Linked DNA regions of Mus musculus: region 2 is reported to be linked to region 1. Evidence: microRNA targets listed by miRTarBase, many of them from high-throughput screens and not tested one by one. Region 1 holds a microRNA gene; the other region holds the end of a gene's coding sequence.

Region 1 (7,166 bases):
GACCTCAGACTCTTCTTCCAAGGGACCTATGGTTCGTGCTTCGAGGATGCTTCCACCTAAAGCATGAAATGGGGTGATGGGTTTTGGGGTGTTGTGTGTGCCCTCATAGATGGGGTGGTAGTGTGGCCGGTGTGTGTGTCAACTCTTCAGTCACCCATGCACTCACATACAGCATTCTGTTCTCCATGCAAAGTTGAGGTCAAATGCACCCGATTAGAGGGGAAAGAAAGGGGGATAATCAAACAGAGAGGGTCTGTAACCTTGTAGAGCACAGTTAGCATTGCTCCTTCCTTGCTGCATTTCCCCCCTTAGAATAATAGGTAGTCTTGAAAGTTCAGCTAGTATTTGTGTGTTTGTCATAGTACCCAGTGTCTAGACTAAACCCTCCCTCTCTCTGTCTTTCCCTCCCAATGGCTCTGAGAATATGCTTGAAGTATTTGTACTGCTTTCTGCTTTTCTCCCACCCTTCCCAACACACTATATCTCTCTCATCTCAGAAATTCCATCCAGAAGAACAAAAAAAAAATTAAAAATAGAGCATAGCAAAGTAAAAACAACCCCCCCTCCAAGTTGTCCTGCTCCTGTCTGGGAGTTGTGTTATTTAAAGATATTCTGTATGTTGTATCTTTTGCATGTAGCTTCCTTAATGGAGAAAAAAAATCCTAATAAATTTCCGGAATCTTAATCCTCAAATGGATGGGTTTTTTTTTTGTTTTGTTTTTAGTGGCGCTTTTTTTTTTAGCGGCACCCCCTCCCCCAAAACACTGAGTGTGTGGATATGTGTGTGTTTTGTGTTTGACTCATCTCCTACAGCCTTTCCAGAATGTCTCTTGGCGGGTTTAATGTAAGTGAGAGACCATAACGTTGATTTAAATATTATCCAGGTGACCACAATAAGTCAAGGTCATAAAACAGTAATGTCAGGACGGTCTTGGTGCGCGCGAGAGGTGGATTTTATGATCTGCAAATATAATGTGGTACTGCAGTAAAAGATGCATTTAAAGGTGACTGGAGGAGGGAAAGAGGCAGAGAGCAAACTGCAATCTTGAGGAGCAGACGGATCTGATTGCCTTCGGTACTGGGGCTGGATGCACCCCACCACTGCTGGGGGGGTACCTCAGGAACCCCCACCCATCTAAACAGAGGAATAAACTTAACTGCCGGAGGGGCACGAGGAGTTAAGCCCCCGCCCTCGACAGCAGCTTACAGAAGCGCCAGCGGCAGCAAGAGAAGGAGGAGGCAGCGACAAGGTAAGAGAATCGGTTTCTTGTTCTTCTCTTGGCGGTCGACTGAGGACTAGCAGCGTTCCCAGGTGCCCGGAGAGCAGCGCGTAGAGCACGGAGGAAGGTGTTTTGGGCGTCTGTGTTTTCTGAGAGACCCGGATTTTCCTTGTGGCCGCCAGCAGTGGAGGGCAGCGGCTATGAGCTCCCTCTCCTCCCCTCCCTGGTCCACTACCGCCGTGGGGTTCGGTGGTTAAAGGGGGTAAATTGGTGGTTTTGGCTTCTTTATCTTTGATGGCACTTAGGGGCGTCTAGAGATCCACCCATCAGCTTAGGTGTCTCTGTCTGGTTGTAAGGTAGAAGGGTTGGAGCTTGAAGCTTGGGTTTTCTTGCGTTTTGCTGGTGTGGGTGTGAGCCTTGTCCATGTTCTTGGTCTTCGTGTTCCCAAGCTGTAGGGATTTGCCAGACAAGTGGCCCGACTGTAAGTGGCTCCTGAGCACAGGCGCTGTGGTCTAGACACCCATGTTTGTTGAGAATCCTTAGACACTGAGTCTGGGAGAAGAGTAGAGGAGAGCCAGATGGATAAGACAGGGGACCCAGCTCAAGAGTGGAAGAACGATCCAGCTCCCCCCAGGGCCAGGGCCAGATGCAGGGGGATAGCTCTACTGCAGTACTGGGGGTGGGGCAGGGATTTGGCGGCTAGAGGTTCCTTTTCACCAGATTTTCCCAATGCAACTTGCTTATACCAGAAACTAACGGGAGACTATCAGACCCTCAACCCACCCAGCCACCCAAAGTCCACTCTCTAGTCCTCAGGGAGGTTGTAGGGCTGAAGGGGGACCGGGCTGAATTTCTTCCTTCCCCAAGCCCCTTCCCTTCTTCTTTGGATAGATGCAAAGCCCTAAACTCCGGCCCTGCTTGCTCAGCTGATCTGTGGCTTAGGTAGTTTCATGTTGTTGGGATTGAGTTTTGAACTCGGCAACAAGAAACTGCCTGAGTTACATCAGTCGGTTTTCGTCGAGGGCCCCAATCCACCTCCCCTAACCCTTCCTTCCCTTGTGGGACTGCCCCACCACCCATCCCAGAAAGGGCAAAATAGGTGCAGACTGAGGAGGTCAGGCTGTGAGTGGGGCCATGGGACAAATTCTGGACAGCCCTGCTTTACAACCATCTCCCCCTCAGCCTGTCCCAATCTTTGGAATGGAGGGAAAGGGTTTCTCCCCCCTCCTCACTCCCGTAGCTATTGTCTCCTGTGCCCAGCTGATAAAGACAGACAAAGAAGGTCCAGCCAATTCCAAGGAAATGCAGGAGTTTGAGTTTGGCCTGTTGGGCCAGCTTAGTTGAGGAACAGGGTGGGGCAGTCATGAAAGGACAGAAAAGCTCCTAGAAAGAGGAGGGAATCTCTGAAGTCTCTCCCTGTTACCTCTAAGGAGAGAGCAGTGCTCCTTTGGAAAGTGAGGGTGTTGGTGTTCAAAGAGTTAGGGAACTCTGAGAACAGTAGCCTCTTCTTCCCTCCATAGCTCCATCTCCAGGGAAAGGATGGATATAGGAAGTGAGTACATTAGTGGAGAAACACCAAGTCCAAGTCGAAACCTCCTTCAACACACCCTGTTGAGGGCAAAAGCCCAGCTCTGGTCTGTCTTGTCTGTTATCCGTAGGCCTTGGTCTGTATATTTGCCTGTCTGAGACTGCTAGGCATTTGCCTGTCCTTGTGTTCTGTGGAAATGTCTGGGTAAACAGACGCTGCCAGCGCCCACCGTTACCATATTGTTGAGAAGGCTGTTGGCTGATGGTAGGGGGCGGAGGGGAGAAGAATGGGACAGAGGGAGATCTGAGCAATGAGAAACTTTACAGACCTCCTCCACTCTGTTCCCTTCGGCTTTCTTAATTCTGGACTTGGTTTGTCAAGTGAGGATCTCAGAAAAGGTTTTCTGGTCTTCAGAGGAAAAAATGGGGGGATGATCAGGGAAAAGGGGAAACAGGCATAGGATCTGTTCTCAGAGACTCTGAAAAGGAGAAACCTAAAGGAGGCCAGATTCTTGGGGCTCTTTTGTAATTATGATTATGAAAGCAGGGAATACAACCATGTCTCTTAACAAATTATCATGAAAAATTTTGTATTCTCAACATGGTGTCTTAGAAGAAAAGAATGTGACTTTAAATTCATGACAAGTGTATAGGTCTCTGTTTCTATCTGTCCTTTCTAGGTTTTTTGAAATCTCTCTCTCTCTCTCTCTCTCTCTCTCTCTCTCTCTCTGTGTGTGTGTGTGTGTGTGTGTGTGTGTGTGTGTGTGTGTGTGTGTGTGTGTGTGTGTGAAATTCATTTTGACTTCTGTGGATATTGGAAAAGAAGATGTGAATAGACCCCCCCCTTCCCAGCTGAATTGTCGGTCCTAGCTGTTCTCCATCCCTTTGTGTGAAGAAAAGTATTTAAATCTCTATGGCTCCCAGGGAAATGAGGAGGTTTCCAGAAAGACGGGCCAGTTGGTGAAGGAAGATATGTATAAGGGAATCCCCTGGTTTGGGAGCCCATATAGTCTCTAACTTCAGAGTCTCTGAGGCACACAGCCAGTTTGGGTAAGGGGAGCCTCAGGCTGGAGCAAGGTGTTCAAGAGCTCTTGGCTTAGAGAAATGGCCCTGATGAACCGAAATTTATCAATACAGGGCTTCTGTGCCTTGAGTCACTTTGCCCCTATTTCCATTTCAAAGATGATGGATTTAAAGGAGGTGGCCACAGAGTCAGGGGTCAGGGCAGTCTTCTCCCTAGATCTGGAGAAGTGGAGCAAGGTCTCATAGGGCCAAGGTGAGGACCAGTCTGATGGTCAGAGTCCACCCTGGGGGCCCTGGGACTGTGGATCATGGCTAAGGCGATGGTAATTATTTATTCGCTTCGCTGGAAGGGAGTGTTCAGAAGGAACAGCGTGAAAAGGAGGGAAAAAATTATCTCTCTCATCTGAGGATATTAAGATGGATTTTTATTTCTTAAAGGACCCTCCCCGCCGAGAGCACATAAGCGTAAACTTAATATATGCTCCGCAGCCCAACTCTAGAAATCGCAATAAAAGTTAAAACCTCCCCTACTGGTTTTTTTTAATTATGATATGGGGAAGGGGAGCAGGATTTATAGAGCTGAACTCTCGGCGCGTGTTTGAGACTTGCGGGAGAAGGAGGAAAAGGCAAGAGCTCGCCAAGGAGAGCCCTGATCTCTGAGATGTCTCGCCGGCAGTGGGGGCTTAGGCTCAGCCCAGCTAATCCGCTGTGGTCTCTCTGGGACCTCACCCCAGCAGTCGGCCTTGCTTCGGCTCACTTGCTGGAAGATGCAGCCCTTCTTGAGAACAGGTGACGTGAAGGCGGCAAACGGGGATAGGGGAAGTATAAATGGGAAGACTAGCGCACAGAGCTTTGTGTGGGTCCTTGCTGGGGACGAGGTTAGCCCAAGTGTAGCTCAGCGGATGGCTGGACTCCGAAGGGTGTCCGGGCAGGGCACAAGAGCAGGGACAAGGTGGATTGTGTGTGAACATCGACCACAGACTGAGTAGAGTGGACTCCTGGTCTGTGGTCAGCGGCGAGCCAGGCAACCGGATGTTGAGTCTGTAGGAAGGACCTTGAGGTCTGTTGGGTGTTTGGGCTGCCGGGGGCGCGGCAACCAGGGGTATTGAGGGAGTGTGTTGTGCGCGGGGCGCGGCGGTCAGCTTGGGCGAGGCTGTAGGCCCCGCACATCTCTGCGGCTGATGGGCTGTGTCCGGGAAGACTAAACTAGGGTCGAACCAATGATTAGAGCATGAAAATAAATGCAGTTATGTGTTCCCACCTCCCCGTATACGCAGTTCTTTTTTTCTTTTCTTTCTTTCTTTTCTTTTTTTTTTCCTTTCGGAGATACCTGGATATGGTCCAGAGCAGGTTGTCCGCGGGAGGGCCCCGCGAGCGGCAGCGTGCGAGGGAGGGAGGGAGGGCGAAGGAGGGAGGGAGGGAAGGAGGGCGGGTGGCGGCGGCTGCGGTGGCCAGGGCTTCCCTCCCTGGGCGGGAGGCTGCTGCCCTGCCTCTGTGGCCGTGGGGAGCCAAGAAGCAGGTAAAGGAGGCTTTCTGAGGCGGTATTGCACCAAGCCCAAGGTACCAAGTCTTCCGGGCCTCTGCTTAAGGTTCTGGCGGGAGAGAAGGTAGGGAGATCGGCGCCCACCAGGCCTGGAAAGGAGGCCTCGGGATGTTCAACCTGTGTATGATTTCAGTCTCACACTCATGTTGTGGTCTGTCTGCATTGGGAGACGCCGCTTGCCTGTCTGTCTGAGACTTCCCAAACCCGGGCACTCCTTCCAAAGGCTCAGAAAAATTCGTCGTCGGAATGTGTACTTTCATTCATTGGATTCTCTGAAACTCGGCAGGGCTGGCTACGACAACCCAGGTTGGGAGGGAGCATTCTTCCTCTTTTCTGGATGTGTAGTCCTTTGGCTCCTTGGTCACAGGCTGAGTTTTCCGGTTCTAGGTTCGCGGGTCGCCCTGATGTTTGAAGCTAGACAGCTCCAGTCGGTTAGGGAGGGCGGGGAGGGACCCGCGGCTGTGGCTCCTTAATTGTACTTCGAGCCCTTATTGTCTCTCCTTTCGCCACCTCCGCTTCCTCAGTCTGGGCTCCAAAGTCACTGCAAATTTCCTTGCGATACATACATCACACAAAAGATCAGGTAACAACGCGCTCAGAGCCATTGAATCAGAGCACAGGGCAACCCTGGTTCTGGGGAGGCTACCTCTCCAGTCACTCCCCAGGCTGGAAAAACAGACTGTGTTGGGGGAGCCGGAAATAACCCCGTTTGCTGCGGAGCGGCAGGGCGGGGGCGCCGGCGCAAAGGCAGGCCGGGCAGGCCATGGCGTTGAGAGGGCCACGTTCACAGGCCCTGGGGGTTTCACGCTTGCGGAGCTTGGGGGCCTGGCTCTTGGTGTGGTGGCAGGGATCCCAGATACCCACCTTGGGTGGGGGTAGCACGCAGTTCTCCTCGCAGCAAGCAGGAGAACTCAGTTTCTGCTTCCAGCTCAGGCCTTAGCTAGGAGGAGTTGTGTGTGGGTGTGTTTTTCCCAACAAAGAGGGATCAGGAGAGATGGGGGGGGAACTAGAAGGGAACCAGGGAGGGGGGCGGGGAAGGCGAGAGGGCAGCGGAGGGACGAAATGAGCCCATTTCAGGGGGAGAAGGAAAATGAAAGCAAACGGAGTAGGGCCTCCTCGGTTCAGGGAGGGTGCTGAGGAGCAGAGAGCGGGCTCTCTGCCTGCGGCGGCCGGGATGGCCCGCTGGGGGCACAGAAGAAAGCCTGTTTTAAATTTAATCCGAACTTGACGGTGTGGATTGAACCGGAGGGAATTTAAATCATTAAAAGGGAGACACGCGGTAGGGGGAGGGAGGAGGATGACTCTAACCTATCTGTTTGTCTGTCCTTCCCACAGTGCTAGCTTGGCTGTTTTCTCAGTTGCCCAGGTTTGAGGTGATAGAGGTTTGCCCATCCCCCTTCAGGGGACTCCTCTCCTGTGCCCACTGGAATCTGTTGGGGGTGTAAGGTGAATACAGAATAGTCAGCTAGAACTGGGCTTTCTTCCTCCCTTTCCAGCAGTGACTCCCAGTTTCCTCAAGTCTCTCAGGTTGCCCCATTGATGCTAAGAACAATTGAAAGGAGTTGGGTAAATGAGAGAAAGTCTTAGAATAAAATAGGAGATTCAGTGGGAGTAACTGAATCCCCAAGATGAGACCTTGCTTCTTCGCATCCATGTCTTTGCCCTCCATATCTACAAGCCTAGATTTAGGGAAAACTTGAAAGTCCACTTCACAGTCCTGACCTGCTAGCTTTTAAATGTGAAACATGAGAGTCACAACCTATATGAAGGACCTGGGCCTAGTGTCCTCTGGACTCCCAGTCTCTTATCAGACCCCTTCCTTTAGGCTACCTCTTTCTAGGAGGCATAATAGA
Region 2 (7,166 bases), not on the chromosome of region 1:
CCCACTGATTCTCTAACACCGTCTTTAACACCGGCTGCTTCGTTTGTTCACCAACCCACTTACGCCAGATGTACCAGGCTCTGCGAATTACGTATGATTTATTTTGAAACGTAAAATGGGGCTACAGGAGTTCTTATATAAAAACTACAAAAACGGCTTTGTGAAACAAAAATATGAATAAACATTCTGTCATTGAGCAAGAGAATCTCAGATATGGGAGAAAACTGCAGAGATTTTGAAGGTGCTCAAACAGGTCCGCGAGCATCAGTAAATTTTTTTACCTGCTAGTGACAGTGAAGCAGATGCTTATGGAGCAAACCTGATTAGACCAACTGCAAAGAATAGTCTACTGATTGGTGCTGTCCTTAGCCAAAAGATGAGTGAACACATCTGGGCGTGTTCTAATAGAAAATACATGTATAAGCTAAGAGTGTATCTACCAATGTTCTTTATATATATATAAAAGTTTTATTTATTATTATACATAAGTACACTGTAGCTGTCTTCAGATGCACCAGAAGAGGGCATCAGATCTCACTAGGGATGGTTGTGAGCCACCATGTGGTTGCTGGGATTTGAACTCAGGACCTTCGGAAGAGCAGTCGGTGCTCTTAACCATTGAGCCATCTCTCCAGCCCCCATGACCCCTTCTTACAACTGATTTAAAAGGAGGTTCTTTGAGGTCCCAACTGAGTCAGGTATTACTGCATTACATGCAGTGTGAGTAATAATAGCACACGTGAAAAGTTCAATGGCTGCCCTCCATGGGAGCAGAAACAAGCTATGGATTAGTCTGAAACATTCATTTACCATTAACATGCTGTTGGGGGCTATCTTCTTTCTCTATATGTTTTCTGTTCCTGCTCTTCTTTTGGGAAGTTTAGTATAAGATCCAATGCCAGTGCCAGAGAGCGTCCACCATTGGTCCCATTTTCTCAAAGCTCTTGGATCCCTCCCTATAGTCGGAGGCGATAGCTTCTCCATCCCATAAACTCCTGGTCAGTGGGCGGAGACTATAGGAGTTTTGTTGTTCCTTTTGAGCCGCCATCCAGAATGGAGTGAGAGCCAGATCAGAGGCATCTTGCTTAAGCACTCCCTGTGGGGGTGGCTTGGATAAACACTGCCCATCTAGGCTTGCTCCAGGCCAATCAGTTTTTCCCCAGCCCCAATCGAAGTGTGACTCTAGCAGCCAGAGCTCACTCCCCGCTGACTGAGTTCTGTGAGTCTCTTCCCATGTTTTTCCTTTCGTTCCACACATCCCCTGGCAGGTTCCAGGGTCTACTGGGAAAGAGGGCTAACCATTAATTAAGCATTAACTAATTGATTAATTAACTAAGAGAGCTAATCATATCTATGACTTAGATTTCCAGCTCCCACAAAGCCCTACGCACTAAGAAGTTAAAGTTCAGACAGCCACTGGGGCCATGCCCTCATCAGGTGAGAGACAAAGAGAGGAGCTCCAGGCCAGGCACAAACAACAATAAAGCTGTAATTTCAGGGCTGGGGAAGAGGCAAGAGGAAACAAAAGTGATTCTTTAACTGGTTGTCACATTAAATTTAAGATTTATCTATTTAAAAATATCCAGGAGCGCATACAGTGAGTCAAATGTAGATAGGAGACTTAATGGGTGCAGTGGAAAAGACATTTATTAATCTTCAAACTCATTGATCATTAATAGGAAACATTAGAAGAAACACAGATTGGGATTCTTTTTAAAAAGCGATATTGGAATTCATTGCTTTTCATCAATCCCGGAAACGGATGATAGCATTTTAGATGCATTAAATTTGGTCCATCATGCTCACTTCACAGTGGGAAGAAAAACAGCACTTGAGTGATTTTTTTTTCCCCTTAATTTGTTCTAAATTATAGCGAAGTGCCCTGCAAGAAGCAAGTGCTCATGTTAATTAACTCTGAGTAGAGAAGGTCACTGTCACACGTGGGGGCTCAGTTTCTGGCTTTCGTGAGATATTCTCTTCTGCAATTAGAACCTTCATCAGGAATTAGAGGCGTATGCAGATTCTCTCTACTTTACCCAGCGCTTCATGTTTGGGCACTTTTGTTGGCTCTTCTTTAAAAACACTGAAGATGTAGTAACAATAATGAGATGAACCGCCGGTCATGGTGGCGCACACCTTTAATCCCAGCACTCGGGAGGCAGAGGCAGGCGGATTTCTGAGTTTGAGGCCAGCCTGGTCTACAGAGTGAGTTCCAGGACAGCCAGGGCTATGCAGAGAAACCCTGTCTCGAAAAACAAACAAACAAACAAACAAACAAACAAACAAAACAAAACAAAATAATGAAATGAAGCACACAGTCTAGATATTTATTTACAGGTATGCCTGCAGTATTGGCCTTTTCTTTGAGCCTGAATCTTTTGTAAAACCACATGCAAACAGCTTGACAGTGCTTCACAACATAAAGAGTTAACAAGACTGAATTTCGGTTGTCTTATGTTGAACTGTTAAGACCAGACATGAAATTATAAATGCTGTGCAGTCTGGAAAATCACCCTCCAGGATCCTCGGAATTCCATTGGGGCTGAGAGAGCTATCAGCAGCTGAACCCATACTTCCAAAACACACAGAATTTTTAAAGGCTCTAGTTTTCAGTTACCCCTAGTTTCTTAGAACGTGTGCTGTTATTTTTTTTTTTTAATTGGATGTTTGCTTTATTTCAATTTCAAATGTTTTCCCCTTTCCTGGTCTCCCCTTCGGAAACCCCCTATCCTTTCCCCCTTCCCTCTGCCTCTATGAGGGTGCTCCCCCATCCACCTACCCACTCCCATCTTCCCACCCTGGCATTCCCCTACCCTGGGGCATCAAGGCCCCAGGGTCTCTCTTCACACTGATGTCTGACAAGGCCATCCTCTGCCACATATGTGGCTGGAGCCATGGGTCCTTCCATGTGTACTCTTTGGTTGGTGGTCTATTCCCCAGGAGGACTGGGGGTGGGGTCTGGCCTGTTGACAGTGTTGCTCCCCTCATGGGGCTGCAAACCCCCTTCAGTCCCTTCTGCAACTTCTCCACCGGGAAACCCCGAGCTCAGTCCGATGGTTGGCTGCGAGCATCCGCCTCTGTCTTTGTCAGGTGTGCAGTTATTTTTATGCCTCAAATTATGAACGCACATGTTGATTTTGTTGGTCATACAACACATGGCATGATACAGGTGTTAAACTGAAATTGTTTATGTCAATTAATATTTGAATGGTAGACATGATGAGGAATCCAGAGTCTCTTGCCTCTTCTGATCCACTCCAGTATCAACTGTGAATCACTATAAAAAAATTACTTCAAATGGATTTAGCCACAATGTAAAGGTAATTATATACGTCATTCCTTTGGTTGTGTTTGTTCTGGATATCCAGACGTTAACTATATATTAATTTGGCCATTTTAAAGAGGTAAAGAGACTTCAAGACTAAACAGTCATCTAAAGAGACCATTCAGGTGTGGAGCTTTCGATGACAATCAAACCTGAATGGCTCTTAGAATAGGAAGAACTCAAGATGTTATTAACTGAAAAAAATCCAAGACTTTCCAATTCTTGGGAGTATCTAAAGATACTCAGGTCAGTCACAGGGGAAAAACTTACATATATAGATATTTTAATTTTTAATGGTCCCAAGGTCTAGTAAATTTTTGATCAACCCATGGTCAAAGACCCTTCAGGAAAATAATATATTTTAAAGGGATGAATATTAATCATGAGTGAATTTTTAATCCTATGTTTTTTTTATGCTGTAGTTATGAAATTAAGTTCTGGGGCTTCTCTAGAGGACGTGGGTTCAAGTCCCAGCACCCACATGAGAGCCCACAACTGCCTCAAACTCCAGTTCCAGGGGATCTGGCACCTTTATATAGAGACATACATACAGGCAAAACACGAATGCACAGTAAATAAATAAGAAATCAAATTCTGATTAAAAATAAATGTGCATTCCACTCCTAACCAAGAAGCTATTTACAATTGATACCTGCTGGGAGAAGGGCAATCAATTTTCTCCGTTGGAGTGATACTGGGTATATCAACCAGTTGGCCAACACAAAATGAATGCCAAGGGTTGCTTTATGTGTGTGATTTTTGTTTTGTTTAGTTTTTTTTTTTTTTGGTCTTATTATTTTGTTAGTTTATTTTAATTGTACTGTTGTTGAGAAATAGAGAGAATATGAAGTCAGGTGGGGAAGGAGATGGGGAAGGTCTGAGAGGAGAAGGAATATGGTCAAGATATACTGTATGAAAAATATTTTTAAATTAATGAAAGAAGAAGAGATCTATGAAAAGGATTTTAAAGGGTTCATATGTGAAAAAAGCGAGTCCCTTAGTACTCTATGTTTCTGAAATTTCAGCAGTGGGAACAAGTGCAAATTGGTTCATGGGGACAGGCTTCAGGGAAGGCTCAACACAGGATTTCAAAACAGAGCCTTGACAGCAATCTCATCTCTTTCAGCAAGGCCACGGCTGCAAGGGCATACTTTTGTCCACTTGTTATGTGTGATTTTATACTTTTACTGGGAGGCTAATTGACCACAGCTTCATCAAATCCACCAAAATAAAAGGAAATTTAATTTCACTTGAGAGTTTTTTAAATTGAGTCTTTATACCATCCGGTTAGTTCTTTTGAGTCATAAATATATAACTGCTACCTAATATAATGTTCTTTTAAAAGTTAAGTCCTATGACTTGGAAAACAAAATGAGAGTCAAGTGTCCCAGTGTGTCAGCCACATAACAGCAGTAGCAAAGAGCTGTGACCGGGAGCTGTAGTCGTTGTAATAGTCTACAGGGACTCTAGTCTTCAGGTTGTACTGATAAGGATCCCAGTTTGCTGTGCAGAACACATTCATACTTTTTCTCAGAGCGCCCCCTAGTGACGAGTGGCAGGTAGCACCAGGGCCATGGATTGTACTGGCAGAAATACACAAGGAGGCAAGCCTGAGAGTGCCCATGTTTATCCCAGGGACCATACTTAATTTTCATAGCTACCTCCTGTCGTCTGTGTATAGATTGCTTCCCTGGGAATAACGTGTCATGAGCATAGAAGCCACCCTGACTGGTTCACCCCAGGACTGTGCTAGAACAGAAGATCTATCTTAATAAAGACACCCAGTAAACACTCAGACGGCAAGTAACCTCTTACTCTTGATTATGGAGACACTTTTATTTATCATAAATTAATGACAGAATATCAAACCTGTGACCTTTTAATACACAGGAAATATACTTTAAAATTTTAATGTGTGTGTGTGTGCATGCACATATATGTGTGGGCATACTGAGGCTAAAGTCTGACATTAGGTGTCTTTTCCCATGATAGTTTTTGAGATAAAGTCTGTCACTGAACCTGAAATTCATCAGCTTGGCGAGACTGGCTGGTGAAAGAGCTTCTGGGATTCGCCTGGTTTTGTCCCATACCCACCCCAGAGCTGGGGTTGCAGATGTGCACCACTGCACTTAGTCTTTATGTGGGTACTGGGGATTTGAACTCAGGTCCTCAAGATGGCACAGCAGATACTTTACCAACTGAACTGTCTCCTGGCCCCAAATATCATACTCTTAATCCTCATTAACCAACCAATGGCATCAACTAATCCAAGACTAAAAGGAGATGGTCAGAATGGACAGTTTATTTTAAAACACCTTCTCCAGGGTTGTTTTATTCAGTATTTTTTCAACATCTTGTTTAGTTTGGTTCTAATGGGAGCACAATTCAGATCTTCACTTTTTTTTCTCTTTAAGTTTGAGTTACATCTATTCTGTAAGCCCTGGTTAGATTACATATTGCCAGGTAGTGGTGGCACACACCTTTAATCCCAGCACTTGGGAGGCAGAGGGTTTGAGGCTAGTCTGGCATACAAAGTGAATTCTAGGACCGCCAGGACTGTTTATACAAAGAAGCTGTGTCTTGAAAACAAAACAGAACAGAACAATAACAAAAGATTGTTATATAGTATTTTATAATTTTAGATTTTAGTTTTTAATAAGTAAGGCCCATGAACTTTGACAATATTAAACTCTCAATGCATTTCTTTAAACTTACCTAAAAGATATCTTTAAATCAAGGTAATCAATTAACAGGTGAGGGTTTATGGCACAGTTTAAACTGTATGGTTGTTCTTGAGAGTGCCTGCCTACTGAGTTCTTCATATGTAGGAGAAGGTGGTATTTCTCCCACTTAACTTGAGAATCAGATCTAATATAACTTTGTCATTCAAAGTATTAGTTGAGAGCTCAGAACCTGAAGTCTAAAATTTAGGATTTTCCCAAACCACACCATTTAAAAATGGTTGATTTAGAATCAAACAAGCACTGACTGGCAGAAGTACCATCCTGTCATATGGAGTGAGAGGACACGCCCCCTTTCTCTTAATGTATCGAGTGTACCTACACACTGAATGCTTACCAGACTGGCCTGAGAATTCTATTTAATAGTTCTTGTCTTTTAAAATAATGGGCCTTTTCAGAATGGGCCACAGTTAAAGGAAATGAATACGTTAAATCCCATCTGATTTGGTTAAGATTCAAAACCAGTGCTTGAAGATTAATTAAAACAGAGGCGCAATTCACACTATAACGGCATCTCGTTAAGGGGAAATGCAGATAGGACGCCCTTTGTGGCCTCTTTTGCTCTCTGTAGCTGGAGCATCTCTAACTTCTTCATCATTGGTGTTCTTCTCAAGATCAGAAATGAGAATGTTCTCTTCTAAATGTGCTGTGCTGAAGTTGAGTGTGGGGTAGTAAGAACCCCGAGACCCCGTGAGTCTCTGGAAGATGTCACTTTTCTGCTTATATATCCAGAAGCAAAGCATGAAAATGCCCAGGGCTATTATCAACGTCAGCGTTACTGTGACAGGAACGATGCTGTGGCTTAGTCCTGGAGAAAGACAAAGAAACACAGAGGACAGATACTGTCACATGCCTACCTTCTATCGTATTGATTCTAAGAAATATCTAAATATTCTTTCCCTTCCAAACCTACCTTTCTCTGGCTGCGCCGTTACAGCTGGGATGCCTAAAATCAAATAATAAACAAATATTTCTTTAAATTCATCTAAGTTATGTTATGTATTCAAGCAAAGCAAGAATCAGACTATTGCTCATATACCATGCCTAGTATATGAATGATGTTTTATTAGAGCTCTGATAGTCATTCATTCATGTATTCT

Evidence for each region. Region 1 holds the annotated microRNA mmu-miR-196a-5p (UAGGUAGUUUCAUGUUGUUGGG, at 2,160-2,181, shown strand). A microRNA usually pairs through its seed, bases 2 to 8, with sites in the 3' UTR of a target mRNA and lowers its output. Matches are read on the target gene's strand: a 7mer-m8 pairs with bases 2 to 8, a 7mer-A1 pairs with bases 2 to 7 and ends in A, and an 8mer does both.
Region 2: miRTarBase lists Pla2r1 as a target of mmu-miR-196a-5p. Seed matches in the 3' UTR shown: 7mer-m8 at 5,787-5,793.

What each region holds. Positions count from the first base shown.
Region 1 is chr15:102,971,206-102,978,371 of GRCm38, forward strand. Mir196a-2 (microRNA 196a-2) reads left to right here and starts at 2,145; the gene lies at 2,145-2,229. It overlaps Hoxc10 (homeobox C10), which reads left to right. Exons shown (of 2, transcript NM_010462.5): 2 at 1-693. It overlaps Hoxc9 (homeobox C9), which reads left to right and starts at 5,827. Exons shown (of 3, transcript NM_008272.3): 1 at 5,827-5,896.
Region 2 is chr2:60,413,429-60,420,594 of GRCm38, forward strand. It overlaps Pla2r1 (phospholipase A2 receptor 1), which reads right to left. Exons shown (of 30, transcript NM_008867.2): 29 at 6,980-7,012; 30 at 4,115-6,874. The coding sequence ends at 6,585. Among named protein-coding and RNA genes, the nearest start is that of Gm13580, 5.5 kb to the left of the region's middle.